Rhinolophus ferrumequinum: one gene and its partner. The protein of the gene in region 1 purifies or fractionates together with the protein of each later gene. This does not show direct contact. Links are inferred from orthologs where the notes say so. Each region holds a gene or a part of one and is shown in the gene's direction. Other genes may lie near its edges.

Region 1 (7,512 bases):
TAATATCAAGGTCTAATTACACGTAGTCATCATTAATGCTAGTGGATACGAATCCGTATTTTAAATACTCTTGTTAATTTTTACGTTTCTGTAAAAATTTTTGTCATGTGAGTAGATTATCGGGTTTGCCTATAATGTAGCTGATAAAGAGCTCATTCAAGGAAGAGGTGATGGCTTTCCCATTTTTCTTAGTGTGTGCTCATGTTGTGTTTTTATTCTCATCATTAATTCATGGTTTCTTTGAAGGAATCTTCAAAGACCAATGACCATTTTGTTAGATTTAATTTAGTTTAACAGAACTTACGTAGTAGATTCTGTAATTCCTCAGAACCTGATGATGCATGAAAAGCAATACAGTATAATATTCTGAGCACAAAACAGTGAGGGCACTAATGCCAACCCCTCCCTTTTGTGGAAGTGCCACCCAGGATACCTCTCAGACCAGTCATGACCCGGCACCATCTGTCTTGTCATACAGGCTATGAGGGTGCCATGGTCAGTCCATACGTTACATATTAGTAAAGCTCAATTCTTTATTTGTAAAATAAAAATGTTTTAAAAATAGAAGTTCTATTCTTTTTCTGCACACCAATGAAAGAAATTCCAACAATGAGACAACCCTTCACACAGGAGGAGGAACCAATAGTGAACATGTCCCTCACCGGTAATTACATCCTTCGGTGGCCATGAACACTGTGACTAAATGCCACATCTAAGGCACATCTGCAGAACGTAGGTAACCCAAGCCTCACTGGCATGAGCCATCCCTTGTTTTATTGTAAGGAATTGGCCTCTTGCGTCTTCCTGAGCATTCCCCACGTGCTGTCATCGCGCAGGCTTTGGCACAGGAGTTCTGCTCCAGCCATGTGACCCTCAGAAGACTTGCTCTGCTGGGCACTGCAGCTCCTCTGCTGGCGAAAGCTGCTATCAGGTGCACTGTGGCTTGGGGGCTTGCGGAGAAGGCCCATTTCTTCCACAGCCCAGCAGAAACTAGACTCGAACTTTTAATGAAAATTTTTTGAGAATTTTATAGTTGATGTGTTAGTTTTCTAGGGCTGCTGTAACAACGTACCACAGACTGGTGGCTTAAAATAAAGTAAATTTATTTTGGAGGCCAGAAGTCCCAAGTCAAGGTGTCAGCAAGGTCACGCTGCCTCTGAAGTCTCCAGGGGCGGATCCTCCTCACCTCCTCCAGCTTCTGTGAGCCCAGGCATTCCCTGGCTTGTGGCAGCATCACTCCAATCTCTCATCACGGGGCTGTCTTCCCTCTGTGTCTGTGTGCCTGTGTCTCTTCTCTTTTGAGGACACCAGTCATGTTGGATTAGGGGCCCCTCTACTTCAGTATGGTCTCAAATAATTAACTCTGCAACAGCCCTATGCCCAAATAAGATCACATTCTGAGAGGGTTAGGACTTCAACATATCTTTTTTTTTTGGGGGGGGGAGGGCACATTCAGCCCCTAATAGTTGAGAACAATTTACAACTACTGCATCAGCCTGGACCTGCCCTCAGAGCTCCTTCCGGAGCCAACCTCCTCCGCCACGCATGTCCTCCCTACGTAGACTTAGGCTGGCTGGCCTCACGCCCCTCTCCTGGGAGCACTCCATGCAACTCCATACCACAGGTTTGGGCCAGACTGATCCCTGGCTTCAGCGAGGGGAGATTCTTTCATCCCAGTCCGGGATTTGCCTTCCCCAGGATGGCCTCATACTAAGACGCTGAGGGCAGGCTTAGTAAGGACCTGCCGAGGAAACCAGGCCCCCCGCCACACGAGCAGGATCTGTCCTCTGGACTCCAACAAGACGACCACACAATGAAACGACCTTGGCCTCTATCCCCAAACCTGCACTGTTTGATTTGAACAATACCCACGTGAGACATAACGTATCAGTCTGGTTTGGCTACTCCAAGAAGAAGACGAGTCTAGTTCTTTTCCATTCATCCTCTAACAAACACTTAAAAAACTAAACACTTTCATGTCTACTTTCATTTAGGGGTACTCTTTCCCATGTAAAAAAGGTAAAATAATGTCACAAATGTCCTTTCAGGAAAAAACAAGCATTCTTTCTCAATGGTAGGGAAAAAAAGGAAGTTTTGTATATTACCCCTGGGAATTAAAAAACTATGTTGGAATTAGAAATCAGATGTCACTGAACTTGTCAATGCTCACAGCAAGTTAAATGTTCCTATGATGTGGACAGTTCCAGCTTCAAATAACTTCCACTAACTTCCTCATCAACCAACGCAGGGGGTTCAGGCCAGCAGAAGCTTCGGCCCATCTGCAGGTTTAGTATGAGCCCTTCACTTGAGCGATGATGGTAATGAGCTGAACCAATCATGTCCTCTCTCTGGAATTTAAATGGAAGAGACGGAGTTCTTGGTTCCCAGGGAAACAGAAGGCAGTGGAAGAAAACACAGAAGTTAGCATGCAGAGTTCACAAGACAGAGCAGCCCTGAATAGAAAGAAGCACAAGTTCCAGCTGCTTAAAAGGTTAACAAGTGATCTCATCAGTGAAACTACTTTGCATTTAGAAGCAAGTCCACTTCTCCCACCCATGTTCCTGTAAGATTTGGCTGCAATCAGTTATTTCTATGTGAATTCATACCATCAATTCCAATTATTTTAGGTAATCTGAGTCATTTCTTAAACCGAATTCTCCCCACTCTAGAACAAAGGAATCTTCAAAACTCCTGGGTCTGACTAACCTTAAAGGGCTTTAAGACAATTGGAACATTTCTTAAATGATTTGTGCTGGACAACTGCACTTCTTGGTCTGGATTCCTAATATTCCTAGACTAAGGCAGTGCATTCAAACTTTTTGAGGCAACCTCAGTAAGAAACAGATTTTACCATGGGACTCAGTACACAATACATATATATCACATCTGTAAATATATATCCACACAACAAAAATGTGATGAAACAATACTTTCTGTAGGCAACATACTATTTTCCATTCTGTTCTATTAAAGAAAAAAAAGCAAGAAAAGAAAAAAGAAGGTAACACCCACTAAGCTGATTTCACAACCCACCAGGGAGTCGAGTACTATCAGTTCAAAATACTGTGGTTGGGGATATCCAAACCCGCAGGATGAAAATGATACATTTCCCTGGAGAGTCCATTTTTAGACCTGAAGTTTTTACATATTTCAACTAATTATAGAGTAGAATGCAAAAATCCATTGAGATAAAACACAGAATTTCAAAGACATTTCTCACAGCTGGATGCCTGAAGCTTCGATCTGTAGACACCCGCCTCCCTCCAAGGAAAAAATGCATAAAATGCATATGCCCCTTCTCCGAGGAGTACGTGGCCGGAGTACGTGGCCGGGGCAGAGAAGGACTCAGTCTTAACGCCAGTGTGCTAACTCAACAGGCATATTTATGGGACAGTCACCTCTAAATCTTCATACCCAGGAATCCAATCTTGCCGCTCAGCTTCCTGGGGCTCCTTCTCTGTGTTCACTGGAAAAGGCAAAAAGCCATGCATGACCAGCAAGTTGTCCCACTCAACAGGTCAACACTGTCTAACAGCCGGAGGCCAACGGGTCATTCGTACGAGTAGCGGGGTATCTGCTTTTTTAGCAATCACCAAGGGCAGGAATATCTACCATGATGGAAGTCTCCCTAGCTGGAAATCTCCCAACTGTCCTCACTTCCCAGGCCTGGCTTTCCCCTTCATTTTCCATGACGGAGGCCCCGGGCTGCTGTCCCTGCACTCATCATTGGTGCCCCGCCAAGGGCTCTTCACCAGCACCGGGGAAAAGGGGTTGTCAGTGCGCCTTTTGTGGAAAACACGGCCGCGTCTGGAGAGGTCAGCCCACACCGGAGAGCGAGCCCCGTCGGAATGACGGTTCTGGAACGTTCGCAGCCAACAACAACTAGTGTTTTAAGTTTGTCTACTGAGGTGTGCCGCGTCGGCACGTGGCAGGGTTGAGACCGGAACTGGGGAAACGCACACATTTTGAATGAAATGAAAAACATTTTGAATTAATGCACTGTCCATTCTTCTCACGGCCCCTCACCTTGGATGACGTTTAGTCACCACGTACACCTCCAAACCCAGACTTAAACGCCAATATATCAAAGGGCCTTTAAAAAAACACAGCCAACCCACGGGCCAGGAGGTAACAGCCACGCGCCTCGCGCCTCTCGCCTTTTAACGGCTCGGGGGTAGCGAGTCCACCAACCGCTCGTCGTTTCGCCAATCACCGCGCCCCCCGCAGCTTGCTCCGCCTCTCAACCTGCTCTAACCAATCACTGGGAAGCTAGCTTCTCTCCGCTCCCGCCCGCCCCCCACCCCTGCGACTTCCGAAGCCTTCAAACCTCACTGGCGCACAACCGCGCGGTCGCAGCCTGATTTTATTTTTAGCTCCAGGGCGAGCAGCCCCGCCCTCAGGCTCCGCCTCCTCGCCACCCCCAATGGGAAACGGAGTTTCCGTCGCGTCACCGCGCGGGCGGGCGAAAGTTGTCCAATACACATTGGAGGAGAACTGGCGTAATTAAAAAGCGGCGGAAGACGGAGGGAGGGTCATGACGCAGCGAGTTTCAGTCGTGACATTTCCGGGGGTATCTCGGCGTCGCCTTTTTCTCCCTTTAAAGTAAAACGTTGCCCGACGCACCCCTGTGCTTTTCTGGGGCGGGGGCGGCCGCCGCGGTTGGGGCGGGGGCGCTGACGCGAGTCGCTGGGGAGCCGCCGGCGGCGGCGGCGGGAGGTCACGTGGGCGTGTTTGGGGGCGGGTCCACGCGGCGGTTCCGGGCGGTTGGGCGCGCGAGCTTGGAGCCGAGGCAGCCGCGCCCGCCCGCGCCCGCCCGCCCCGCCCCGCCCCTGGATGCCGCTCTGCCCCGGCGCGGCCGCCGCCGATCGCAGCACAGGAGCCGCCGCCGCCGCAGTTGATGTGGTTGGCCCGGGCCTGAGGAGGCCGCCAAGATGCCGCAGTCCAAGTCCCGGAAGATCGCGATCTTGGGCTACCGGTCCGTGGGTGAGTGGCGGGCGCCGCGCGGCCTCCTTGCGCCCGAGCCCGGCCTCGTCTAGGCGCCGGGACGCGGCGGACCCGGCCAAGTTTGGGGCTGGCGCGGCCATGTGGCGGCCGCGCGTTTCGTAACCAGCCGCCCGCCGCCGCCACCTCCATTTTGAGCGGCGCCGGCGGTGAGGCCGGGCCCCGCGGGGCGGCGGCGGCAGGGGGCGGCCGGGACGCGGGGAGGACGTGTCTGGGGAGGCCGCGGACGCGAGGGGAGTCACAGGTTCGTTCGGGCCCGGGTGGCGCTGGAGGGGTCCGCCGCCCTCCCAGAACTGCCGCAGGGCACCCCAGAGGGAGAAATCGCACCTGTCTCACCGCCTTTTCGCGGCTTGCTGTCGTGATCGCGGCTAGCAGCCTTTCCGCCGCAAATTAAATAAAGTCCGTGGGATTTTAACAAAGGAAACATCACCTCGGGTTTTTTTCTGTCTATGAAGTTAAACATTTTAAAGAAAACCAGGGGCCTAAAGGACGTTTGGCTACTGAGAGCAAGTTTCCTATCGAAGAAGCCCTACAAGAGCCCTCTTGGGTAGCCCCCAGATGCCGCCCCGACCAAAGTAGGAAGGCAGGGAGAAAAACATTTCTGATCTCTCGGTGTCCTATTTTTTTTTTTTTTTTTTTTTTGGCGCAAATAAGGTCAAGTACTTGTAACCGGGCTGTTGAAGTAATTCAGAAGTTTGTTGTGGTGGGGTTTTTTTCCCCCCCAACAAAAGGTTGACGTATTTAAAACTGTTCCCGGCAGTCGCCTTTTTACCGAACTGAGGTGGTCTGTGGTTGGGGTGGGGGGTGGACCGCGTGCCAAAAAAAAGAGTAAGAGAACAGAACCGTTGAACTTCACCGTGCTTCAGGGTGAGGCTTTATTGTCTTTGACAAGCAGAAGCCGGGGGAAATTACATTTATCTTTTCAAGTTGTTTTTAAGGAGTAGCTGTCCAAGGAAAATGTGCACTTGAGTGCAGTGGGGGGAAGGAGCTGAAAGCGAGGGCTTGGAGTCTATGGTGATTGCAACGGGTGGTAACTATACCTGCTGTAGGAAAGCTTGTAACTGCTCACAGCTCTGGATGAACTCCCGACTGCACTTGCTGTTCTCTTCCTCCCCCCATTTTCCACCGTGGGTTCCAGGGTCTGTGCTCTTTGACCAAGATCAGCTACCGCATGCTTACTCATCCTTTTATCATCTCTCTCTGTCAAAGTGCTTTGGGATGGGGGCATCCATCCCAAAGCACTTTGACAGAGAGAGATAGGGGCTTCCAAGAGTCATAGGATGACTGTTGTATGATGCAGTGCCAAATCCTGGGTGTATGTGGGGGAAGAATAGGTGACAGCCTTAACAGCGGCAGCCAAAAGGACCCATGCCTCAAAGTGAGGCTTTTACAGTCACGAATAGTGCACTCCCGAAATGTCCATATGGAACCCCGCATTCATCCATTATTGGCAGCCTGAATCACCCAGCCCTTGCTTCTGTGTTCTCCTTATTTCCTCCTCCTCTGCATTTTGAAGAGTGGGCCTGTGACATGTCTAATCAGATACATAGTGCCCACTAAATGAAGATAGCAGTCTCTGAATAATCAAGTTACAGGTGATATGTACCTGGGCTACCAGATTTCAATTCGAGAATGTCCCAAAGATGCTGACTTACTCACACCTTGAAATTCTTGAGGTGATGATTCTGTAAGCAAGTCTAGTGTTTTATCACTCTTTTGCTAAAGAAGTTCCTTATGTTCAGTTGAAATCCTTCTGTTTTCTCTTCCTTCTCATCATCCCCTTCTAAAGACCCAGATGTGACAGGTCACCGGTTAGTCTTCTCTTCACAAACGTTTATTTTAAACTGTTTATTTTAACAAACAGGCTGTTAAAATACTGTGCTAAATTAGCGTCCAGTGGGACACAAAGTAAGTTCTAGTCCCTATTTTCTGTGCCCTCAATATGTCCTGTTACTATATCCTACTCCATTTTCTCCATATTTATTTTCAAGTGTAGTGATGATTAAAGTAAAAGGTATTTTGCAAAGATTAAATTACTCCCAGTTTTTGCATTTGATTTTAAAGTTCTTAACCTTTGTTCTGAGTCAGGATACTTTGGAGTTTGTGGGGTCTTTTGTTTTGCCAGCAAGGAAGAAGAAAGTGGTTCCCTGATTCCCATGCACTAGCCAGTCTTCAGAGAATTATTCAGTGTGTGGACCTCTAGGAGGTGACTGATGTGTTTGCTTGCAAATGGTGCTATACTAGAGAAAATTTAGCACATTTGTTTCTAGGTTGTGTTATTTTGTGATGCTAATTTGTTGTATCATATTGACTGGGGTTAGAAGTGGTAGATAAAGGTATAGCTAGAAACCATGCCTTTCTTAGAATGTTCTCCTTTTTTTAAAATTTTTCTTTCTTTCTTTTTTTAAGTTTACCTTCAGGTAAAAACTACTAAATGCTATAATTGTTTTAGTACTTGACTTTCAGATTTTGTACTTTTTTGTAAACACTGACGAAACTTCCAGTAAGGAA
Region 2 (7,991 bases), on another chromosome or scaffold:
GAGATGTGAATGTTACGGAAAATAACAAATGGGGAGTTTAAAAAGACTGTAAAGAGAGACAGTTGGTGATATAGTTTGTATTCTCATAAAGGTAGAATCTTATTGTAGGCAATATTACTCAAATAAAAGGTTGTAAAATTCAATTTGAATGGTTTTTATTGGATAACAAATTTTCTCATCGTACTGTGTTTCCCCCAAAATAAGACCTAGTCAGCCCGTCAGCTCTAATGCATCTTTTGGAGCAAAAATTAATAGAAGACTTGGTAATATATTATATTATACCTGGTCTTCTAGTAAAATAAGACCGGGTCTTATATTAATTTTTGCTCCATAATGTGTCTAATCAGACACATTAGAGCTGGTGCTCCGGCTAGGTCTTATTTTTGGGGAAACACGGTAGTTTCTATCATACAAGGTTTCCTTTTTTTCTTTTCAGACACTGTCTGCCCTGGGCACAGGTCACATCTTGGGATTCTACCCCCAGGATCCACTTCTGTTCCCTTGCCTTCGTGCATTTCCTTCTCGGCTCTGTCGGTGGCGGAGGCCGCACACAAGTTCTCAATTCTGATAGAAGAAGTGTGGGTAGTGGGTGGCGTCTGTTCAACAAGAGCCGCTTTTTACCATAGCCCCTGTGCTTCTCAGGGCTTGCCCCTGTTTTGGAATGGAATAACAGTCTCTGCTTATCAAAACTGTACTTGCTCAGTATAAAAAATATGAATAAAATAGAAAGGTAAACTGGAGGGGGTGAGATCACATACAGAAACATGACGATTTTTAGACGGATGAACTGGGTGGAGAGGACGATATTCCCTTGGCTTCTGCAGCCTTGCATTTCCCACGGAGGGCGGGCGGAGGGCGACGCTGGGGCTGCTCCTACCCCTCTTCCCTCTCCTCGGCCCCTGTCAACAAAACATCTGACCTGCAGAGGGAGGTGGCTTGGATTTTGCTAAAAATAGTGTAATGACGCTCAGAAAAAGCAAAGTGCTTTATATCTATTTTGGTTTCTTTTAGCCTAAGCACCGATTTCTCTGGAAAGGACAGAAGCCGGCCCGTCTCCCCGCGTGGAAAACAAGAGCTCAGCGAAGTTCCTGGTTTTCTCGAGCTGCTTGACCTCCCGTCTCGCTACTGATTCTTGATGACAGGACATTCAATGCCCTTGATTGATTTAGTGGAGAAGCTGCAGCGTTGGAGGGCAGAGCGCAGCTGGTTCTGCCTCGCCTGGGCTGCCATGGTCTTGTGCCTGGAGGAAAGATTAGGTCCCTTGCATGGGCCAGCAGCTGAGGTTGGAAGCTCTGAAACTCCAGGCGCTTTCGTTCTTCCTGTGCTGTGTACAGTGCCTGAGGCGTTTATTCAGGCCCCCGCCCTGCCCATCTTCCCTCCCCCCACCCATATTTCCCGTGACTTCTGTTGTATTTGACCGACACACTCAGGTTTGTAAATGTGTTCTCTGCTCACTTTGCTGTATCTTTGGCTTCTGGTTGCCAAGTAGCCCGAGTGAGGCTGGAAGGGGTCATCTGATCACCTTCACGTTCTAGGGCGAGGTCCCCCTCTCTATACAGGCAGGTTTAGGGTTATTCTGCTGTTTCAGATCAGAGCCTCCCCCGCTTCCACACCTGCAGCCTGATGGCAGCCATCAGCAGGAGGTCATCAACACCCTCCCCTGCTTTCATAGCTTGTGTTAGACCAGGTTCCGTGCATTTTTTGAGATTCACTTGTTTTCAAGATTAAACTGTCTTGTTTAGAGGCTTTGTGGAAAGCAGGCAATGTCCTTGCCTGTGAAGAATTGGAGACACCGGAAATTGGAACTGCAGGCCCAAGTCGCCAGCCCATCGCACGCCGGGTAATAAGATCACCGAGGTGAGAAAGATTAGCCTGTGAATTTCCAGCCTGCCATTACTCAGAGCCTCTCACTGCCATCCGGAAACCTGGAGCCACCCTTCCAAATGCTTATCTGGGACTTGAACAGTCACCCATGACACATCAGAACGAGTTTGCTTTTAAATGTCATGATGCTTTGAAATGACTCAAGCCCATTCTTAAACCTTCAGACTGGGAGCTGGGCTGTCACCAGCCCCTTCCTGATTTACACATGGTCACAGAATTTTGACCCCGAAGTGCCCTTAGAGATTTACCTTCTTCACGTCACCCATGTCACCCCGATGTGGAGCCTGAGGATGGGAATGGCAGCATCTTGGCCATGGCTACAGGAATGGGTGGTGAACCAGGGACCGGAGTGTGTATCCTGACCTTCAGTTCGGGACGTGGACCCCAGATGGCCTCTTGGTTCTGGGGTCACACTTGTCGTCCAGTAGGGGGTGACTCCTGCTGTGACTTGTTGGATGGAAGATTGGATAAGTGCTTCGGAGCATTCACTTACTCGGTACACATACAGAGGGTGCCAAAAAAATGTATACACATTTTAAGAAAGGAAAAAACTGTATTAAAATTGTAATGCTCCATATACACAATAACAACAGATAAATACAAGTCATGTGTATATATTTTTTGGCGCCCGCAGTATTTACTGAGGGCCCGTCACGTGGCTGGAACGGACTCATTAGAGGAGAATGCTGCCTAATGTCCTTAGAATATTGTCCGATCCCCCACATCTGGCTCATGTGAAGCTATCACCAGGGTTACCTGATTAAAAAACCCAGAGGCTGAATCCTTTCTTCCCTCTCCTTGTGGCTCAGTACATCTAGGATGGGACCCTGGCATCTTCATTTTAAAACAGTTTCCCCGGCGATTCTGACAAGCTGCCAGGTGTGCGTGCCGTGGCCTCCTTTACTGACTTTGTGGACACTCAGACAAGGCGAGTGGCTTTCCCAAGGTGACACATACTGAACAGATGAGGAAACTGGGTCTCACACAGATTAAGTGGGTTTCCCCAGGTCACAGAACTAACTATGCAGCTGCTTTTCTGCTGCCGTGGCTTCCTCCCAGCACTAGTGCCTGGAGTGGTTATCTGTGGCCCCTCACTGTCGTGTGCTGCAGGGTGGCAAGGCAGCAGCTGGAGTCGTGGTGTTGCGTTCAGGTGAGAATGAAACAGGGCCCGGCTGGGACCCCCCTCCCCCGCAGTGGAGGCCTTGCGCGTCCCGGCCTCGCCTTTCCTTCATATAGCTTAGTAATAGATTGTCCCCCTGTGGCTTGAGCTCGGAATGTCCCCTGTCCCGGTTCCCAGCTTTAGAAAGTCACCCTGAAACTTATGGTTAATACCCTTAGGCTTACTGATCACAATCTCTGTGGTCTAGCATTCTTTCCAGGATACTCCCATCACTGTTCCTGGGCTGCTGACACCACGGGGAGAACCACGTGGCCACAGGGAAGGCTCCGTGCAGACCCCTGGAACCATCATGTAGCCTCTGGAGGAACTCCCATGTTTTCCCTTAAATATCCTAAGCCGGTCTGAGAGAATGAAGGCAGTTTTTGGAGGTCTTGACCTGCTGCCTTATCAGATCACGTGTGTGTTCCGATAATAAATGCTTGTTCTACAGCCCAGACACAGCCCCTGTGTCTGTGTATCGGCTGGCCGGCACAGGCGGCATGAGCCCCGGACTCGGTTGCCCTCCAGTTTCAAGAACAGGGCCTTCTCAGGACCTCGCAGTCCTGAAGCCTCTGCTGGTGACGGTGGCATGTTTTGCCAACACAGAGCACAGGGAAAAGGAAGATTTTAGCCTCCATCTGTGTTTTGGTGATTTTGCCCTGAGTTGTAATGGAAGGATTGGGCTCATAGAGATGTAAGAACTGAATGAATGTGTGGAATGACTTCATGTTTGGACTGATTTAATCCAAGAACTTTTAGTAAACGCTTGCTATGTGCCAAATGAGAAAGATCTGGGATTGCACTGTTCACTCGGATGTGGAAAGGAACACAAGCGTCCTCAGGATTTCGACGTGGACCACCACGTGGTGTCACAGCCCTGAGAAGCCACACTGAGAAAAGGTATCTTCTAGAGCCCAGCCTGAGGTTTTTGGATGAATAAGGTACCCAGGGCGCCTACATTTCATTTTGGCTATACAGTGGTCGTTGCTAGTGTACTGGGCACTCACGATATACTAGTCACCTTCACAGGTTAATTTTATCCTTCCAGGTGGGTGTTATTATCCCCGTGTTATAGCTGGGAAACTAAGATTGAGCTCTTTAAGGGATTGACTAAGGCCACAGAGATGGAAAGTGATACAGGTGCGCCTGACACCAAAGCCCAGTGGAAGGGAGGAAGACCAACCCCTGGCCCCCTGCTGGGCTTTGCCTAAAGGTTACTGTGTGTCTCACTAGACAGGACATTGATTGAAGGCAGGCTCTGCACGCTGGTTGGGTTTTGTGTTCCCTCCTGCACCGGACAAGGTCTGCACACATTATAAATAAGCAAAGTCTGCTGAACTGAAGCAGAGAAAGAAAGTTACGCAGGAGGCGTACATCCACGCCTAGAAATCTGTAGGTTTTAGTTGTTTGCACATGAAGCTATCTCAAAACAGGAATAAACTGCTCAGAAAGTAAGATGGATTAAACAAAAAATTGCAATCATTGAAATTATTCTTTTCTCTTGGTGTTCCCTGAAAATCTGATTGGTACTGTGAAGGATACTACACGCACACAAACCCTCCCCCCACCCCAAATCCCATCTTCTTTTGTAATATTATCAATGGTTCTTTCTGAAGCTTTTCCTGCCTTTTCAAAATCTGAAAGAAAACAACAAAGGGGTCGAGATTCCTTTAATTTCAGAAGCACGTGGGTCCATTTGTAATTATAAAAAGATTTTTTTCAAAGTTAATTAATTTAACATAGTTTTATTTGTAGGATTGACTTTGCCACCACGCAGCGAAAGAATCGCAATAAACTCTGGAAAGCTGCACCGTGGTGACCACGGTAACGAAGTTGGAGCAAAAACTGCTCCCATCGCATCTTGGGAAGCGCGGCCGGAACGCTCTGAGGTAGTTTGGTCTGTTAGCCACGCCGTAGATCGCGATGCATGCTGGGTCTTAGCAATATGGCGTCCTCCTTGATGTGCTGATGAGAGGAGTTTCACTGTAGCTTCAAACCAGAGGGCAAAACTCCCCAAACCCAATAATCCCACATTACCTGTTTTCTCCGCGGCGCCGTGTCGCCCGTTTCTCAGGACTCGTTCTCAGGCAGGAGAGAGCCACGGGGCCGAAGGTCAGGACCGGCCAGGCCGCGCGGACCCGGGGCTGAGGAACCGGCTGCGGACGAGCACGATGGGCCGGTCCCGGCTCTGGTTGCAGCAGCTGCGGCGAGTGCGGGACCCGCAGGGCTGAAAGTGGCAGGAGGAGACCCGGGGCGCTCCGAACCCCTTCCCTTCGGCCGGAGACGTCAGCCCAGTCGGCGAACCGGCGTCAGGAGCGGGCGGCCTGCCTGTCCTCGGGTCGGCCGAGGCGTTGGAGGCCGAGCGCAGGGTCATCGTGCGGCCTGAAGCCCCGCACGCCTCTGACAGCTCCGCTCGCAGCCCCCCGGGAGCAGACAGCCTCAGAAGCAGCCGTGTGCGTCTGTGCAGAGCCCCCTGCGCTGCCCCATCTCCCCGGCCCTTCCTCCCCCTCCGGCTTCCCTCGGAGAGAAAGGATTTCAGCAGACTTTTTGCCAGAGCGAGGGTCTCCGCACGCTCTCCATTTGTTTCGTTTCTGACTCCCCCCGTATCTGTTTTGTAGTTGACCAGTTCTGGTGCCCACTAGCTTTTAAGGCTGGAGGTTCTCGAGCGCTTGCTGCCAAGGACCCCCCCACCCCCACCCCCCCTGATGGAGTCCGAAATGCTGCAGTCGCCCCTTCTGGGGCTTGGGGAGGAAGATGAGGCCGACCTGACAGACTGGAACCTGCCTTTGGCTTTTATGAAAAAGAGGCACTGCGAGAAAATCGAAGGCTCCAAGTCCTTAGCGCAGAGCTGGAGGATGAAGGATCGGGTAAGTGGATTCCGGCTGCGCCCCGAGGCCTTGGGAGTTTTTTCAACAAAGGAAAGTTCAGAGCCAAAAGCACGTCCTTGGGAAAGCGGGAGACGTATTTTCCTAGCCACATGTCGCAAGGCAACTAAAAACCACACACCATGTCAGACGCCAGTGTTTGGCTGAAAATGCAAAGGCTGTTTTGCTTAGTAATTCACAGGATAGTGTGAAGTCAAACCAAGTTCTGCATCAAACAAGAAAAGTTAAGCAAGTTTGCAAATAGAGCACTGCAAATATTTAGGCGCTGTTTGATATACTCAGTGCTGTTCTTAGAGGAAAAACATCGTCAGATATACTGCTTGTCCCCACGTGGAGAGTCTGTTGTGGTGAGTTGACGCTTTTTGTCCAAGCAGGTGAAATCCAGAAGTCTAACATAGCTACTAGGAAACATGATTACTGGCAAACGTTCATCTAGTAACAAATTAATGCAGAGTTGTTTTAAAGTTACAATGGACTTCATAGCCTTCTAAACCATTTGTCTTGAATACAGACTTGCCTCCTTTTACGTGCTATCATGTTGCTGTGACTTGGAGACAGAATTTCTCCAGGGGAGGAGTTAGAGTAGATGGAATGGAACTTGGGGCCAGGATTTCGGCGGCTCCCCATGGTGTTGGGAGTGCGCACAGTGATTCAGAAGCAACTGGTAGGAAAGAAAACAGCCCATTTTGTTGACTCTGTCCTTAATCAACGACCGTCTGTTTTCCTGGTCTCCAAAGCAAGTGTGTGGGACTGGCTCAGCTATGCACACTTATCATTTGTCTTTCTGTGGTTTATTTTCTCCTTCAAGACTGTATTTATTTAAACATTTTGGTGGTATAAGAGGGGTAGTTGGTGTTACCATGGGATTGCTTTGAGCTCATGAACGTGTTTCTATAAGATGATTTATTGTTTTTAGTATATGATGCTGAACATGTGAGCTCAGCCTTATGGCAGTCCTAGTCAATCACTGGTGACCAGCTACTGATTGAGCTTCTCTTTAAAAGGTTAGGAAAATTTGTTTCAGCCAAAAGCAGTGTAAGGAGTGCAAGAGACAGTCATCAGAAGAGATTGTATAAAGCCTGTCTTACGACCTCTTTAGTACTAATTATATAGTTCAAAGCTTTTGTGGTCTCTGCATGTATAAAAAGTTTATTTTAAAGTTACTGTCTAATCATTTTTTTTTTTCATTCTATTTGGAGGGCATTTTTTTTTTCCTTTTGAAATGTAGTTTCCTCTGCTATCCTAAACCTGTGCTCAAACAGTTCAAAACTGATAAGTGGATATATTTTTGACCTTTTAATTAAAACATTAAGTTTATGAGTGATCAACATCCCGTGATAAGCTCTTCATAGGTTATTAGGAGAAAGACAAGTTCTGTGAATCTGAGTAATTACTGAGATTACTACTTAGAAAAGAGCCAGGTGAGAAAGTTTGCCGTATCTGACGTTTGCAAATTGTTCAGTGAAGAAGAAAATCAGCAGCTGACAGTTTTAGTAAGTTTGTGAGAGCTTGGCATCTTAACAGTCCTGTCGTCTCTTTCCACTGGTTGGACCCTGACGGGACCTTTCAGTACACCATAGTAGGACAAAGGCTGCGAATTCAAAGACGGTAAGATTTGGAAGGCAGCATAAGTGAGTGAAACAGGCCAGCTCTAAGAAGAATAATGGCACAGGTTCAAAGAGAAATGGCAGCTGACATTGGACTTGTGTCTGATTTTTCTGGAGGGTGGAAGAGTGGGGCTTAGAAGAGTACGCCACATCCCTCCCTTTCTTTCTTTCTGTGGGGACAGAGCCCCAGAGAGCAGTTTCCAGGCTCTCAGCCTCACGTGGAAAGGTGCTGGCTCAGGTAGTAGGTGGCCGTCAGCTGTGACTAGTTGGCCGTCAGCTGTAACTAGTGAGCCATTGGCCACTGATATAACTGCCGCGGCTGAGCTAGCAAGCGCGGATTGCAGCCAGCACAGTGGGGTTGGTTGGTTGGCAGAGAAGCGTGGATGGCGGATTGCGTGGCTCCTACTTCCTGTGTCTCCAACCCAGCCGCCAGCAAGAAATAGTGGTATGAACCCC

The links.
Region 2: the proteins of RHEB (region 1) and RPTOR purify together in Homo sapiens (affinity purification with western blotting, with the first as the bait; 3 studies listed by BioGRID). This does not show direct contact. The link is inferred for Rhinolophus ferrumequinum from reciprocal best matches to the Homo sapiens genes RHEB and RPTOR.

The regions. Positions count from the first base shown.
Region 1 is NC_046309.1:3,537,187-3,544,698, forward strand, and holds the start of RHEB (GTP-binding protein Rheb), read left to right. Parts: upstream 1-4,497; 5' UTR 4,498-4,931; coding exon 4,932-4,983; intron 4,984-7,512. UniProt on the Homo sapiens protein: Small GTPase that acts as an allosteric activator of the canonical mTORC1 complex, an evolutionarily conserved central nutrient sensor that stimulates anabolic reactions and macromolecule biosynthesis to promote cellular biomass generation and growth.
Region 2 is NC_046304.1:53,773,224-53,781,214, forward strand, and holds the start of RPTOR (regulatory-associated protein of mTOR), read left to right. Parts: upstream 1-4,970; 5' UTR 4,971-5,748; coding exon 5,749-5,910; intron 5,911-7,991. UniProt on the Homo sapiens protein: Component of the mechanistic target of rapamycin complex 1 (mTORC1), an evolutionarily conserved central nutrient sensor that stimulates anabolic reactions and macromolecule biosynthesis to promote cellular biomass generation and growth.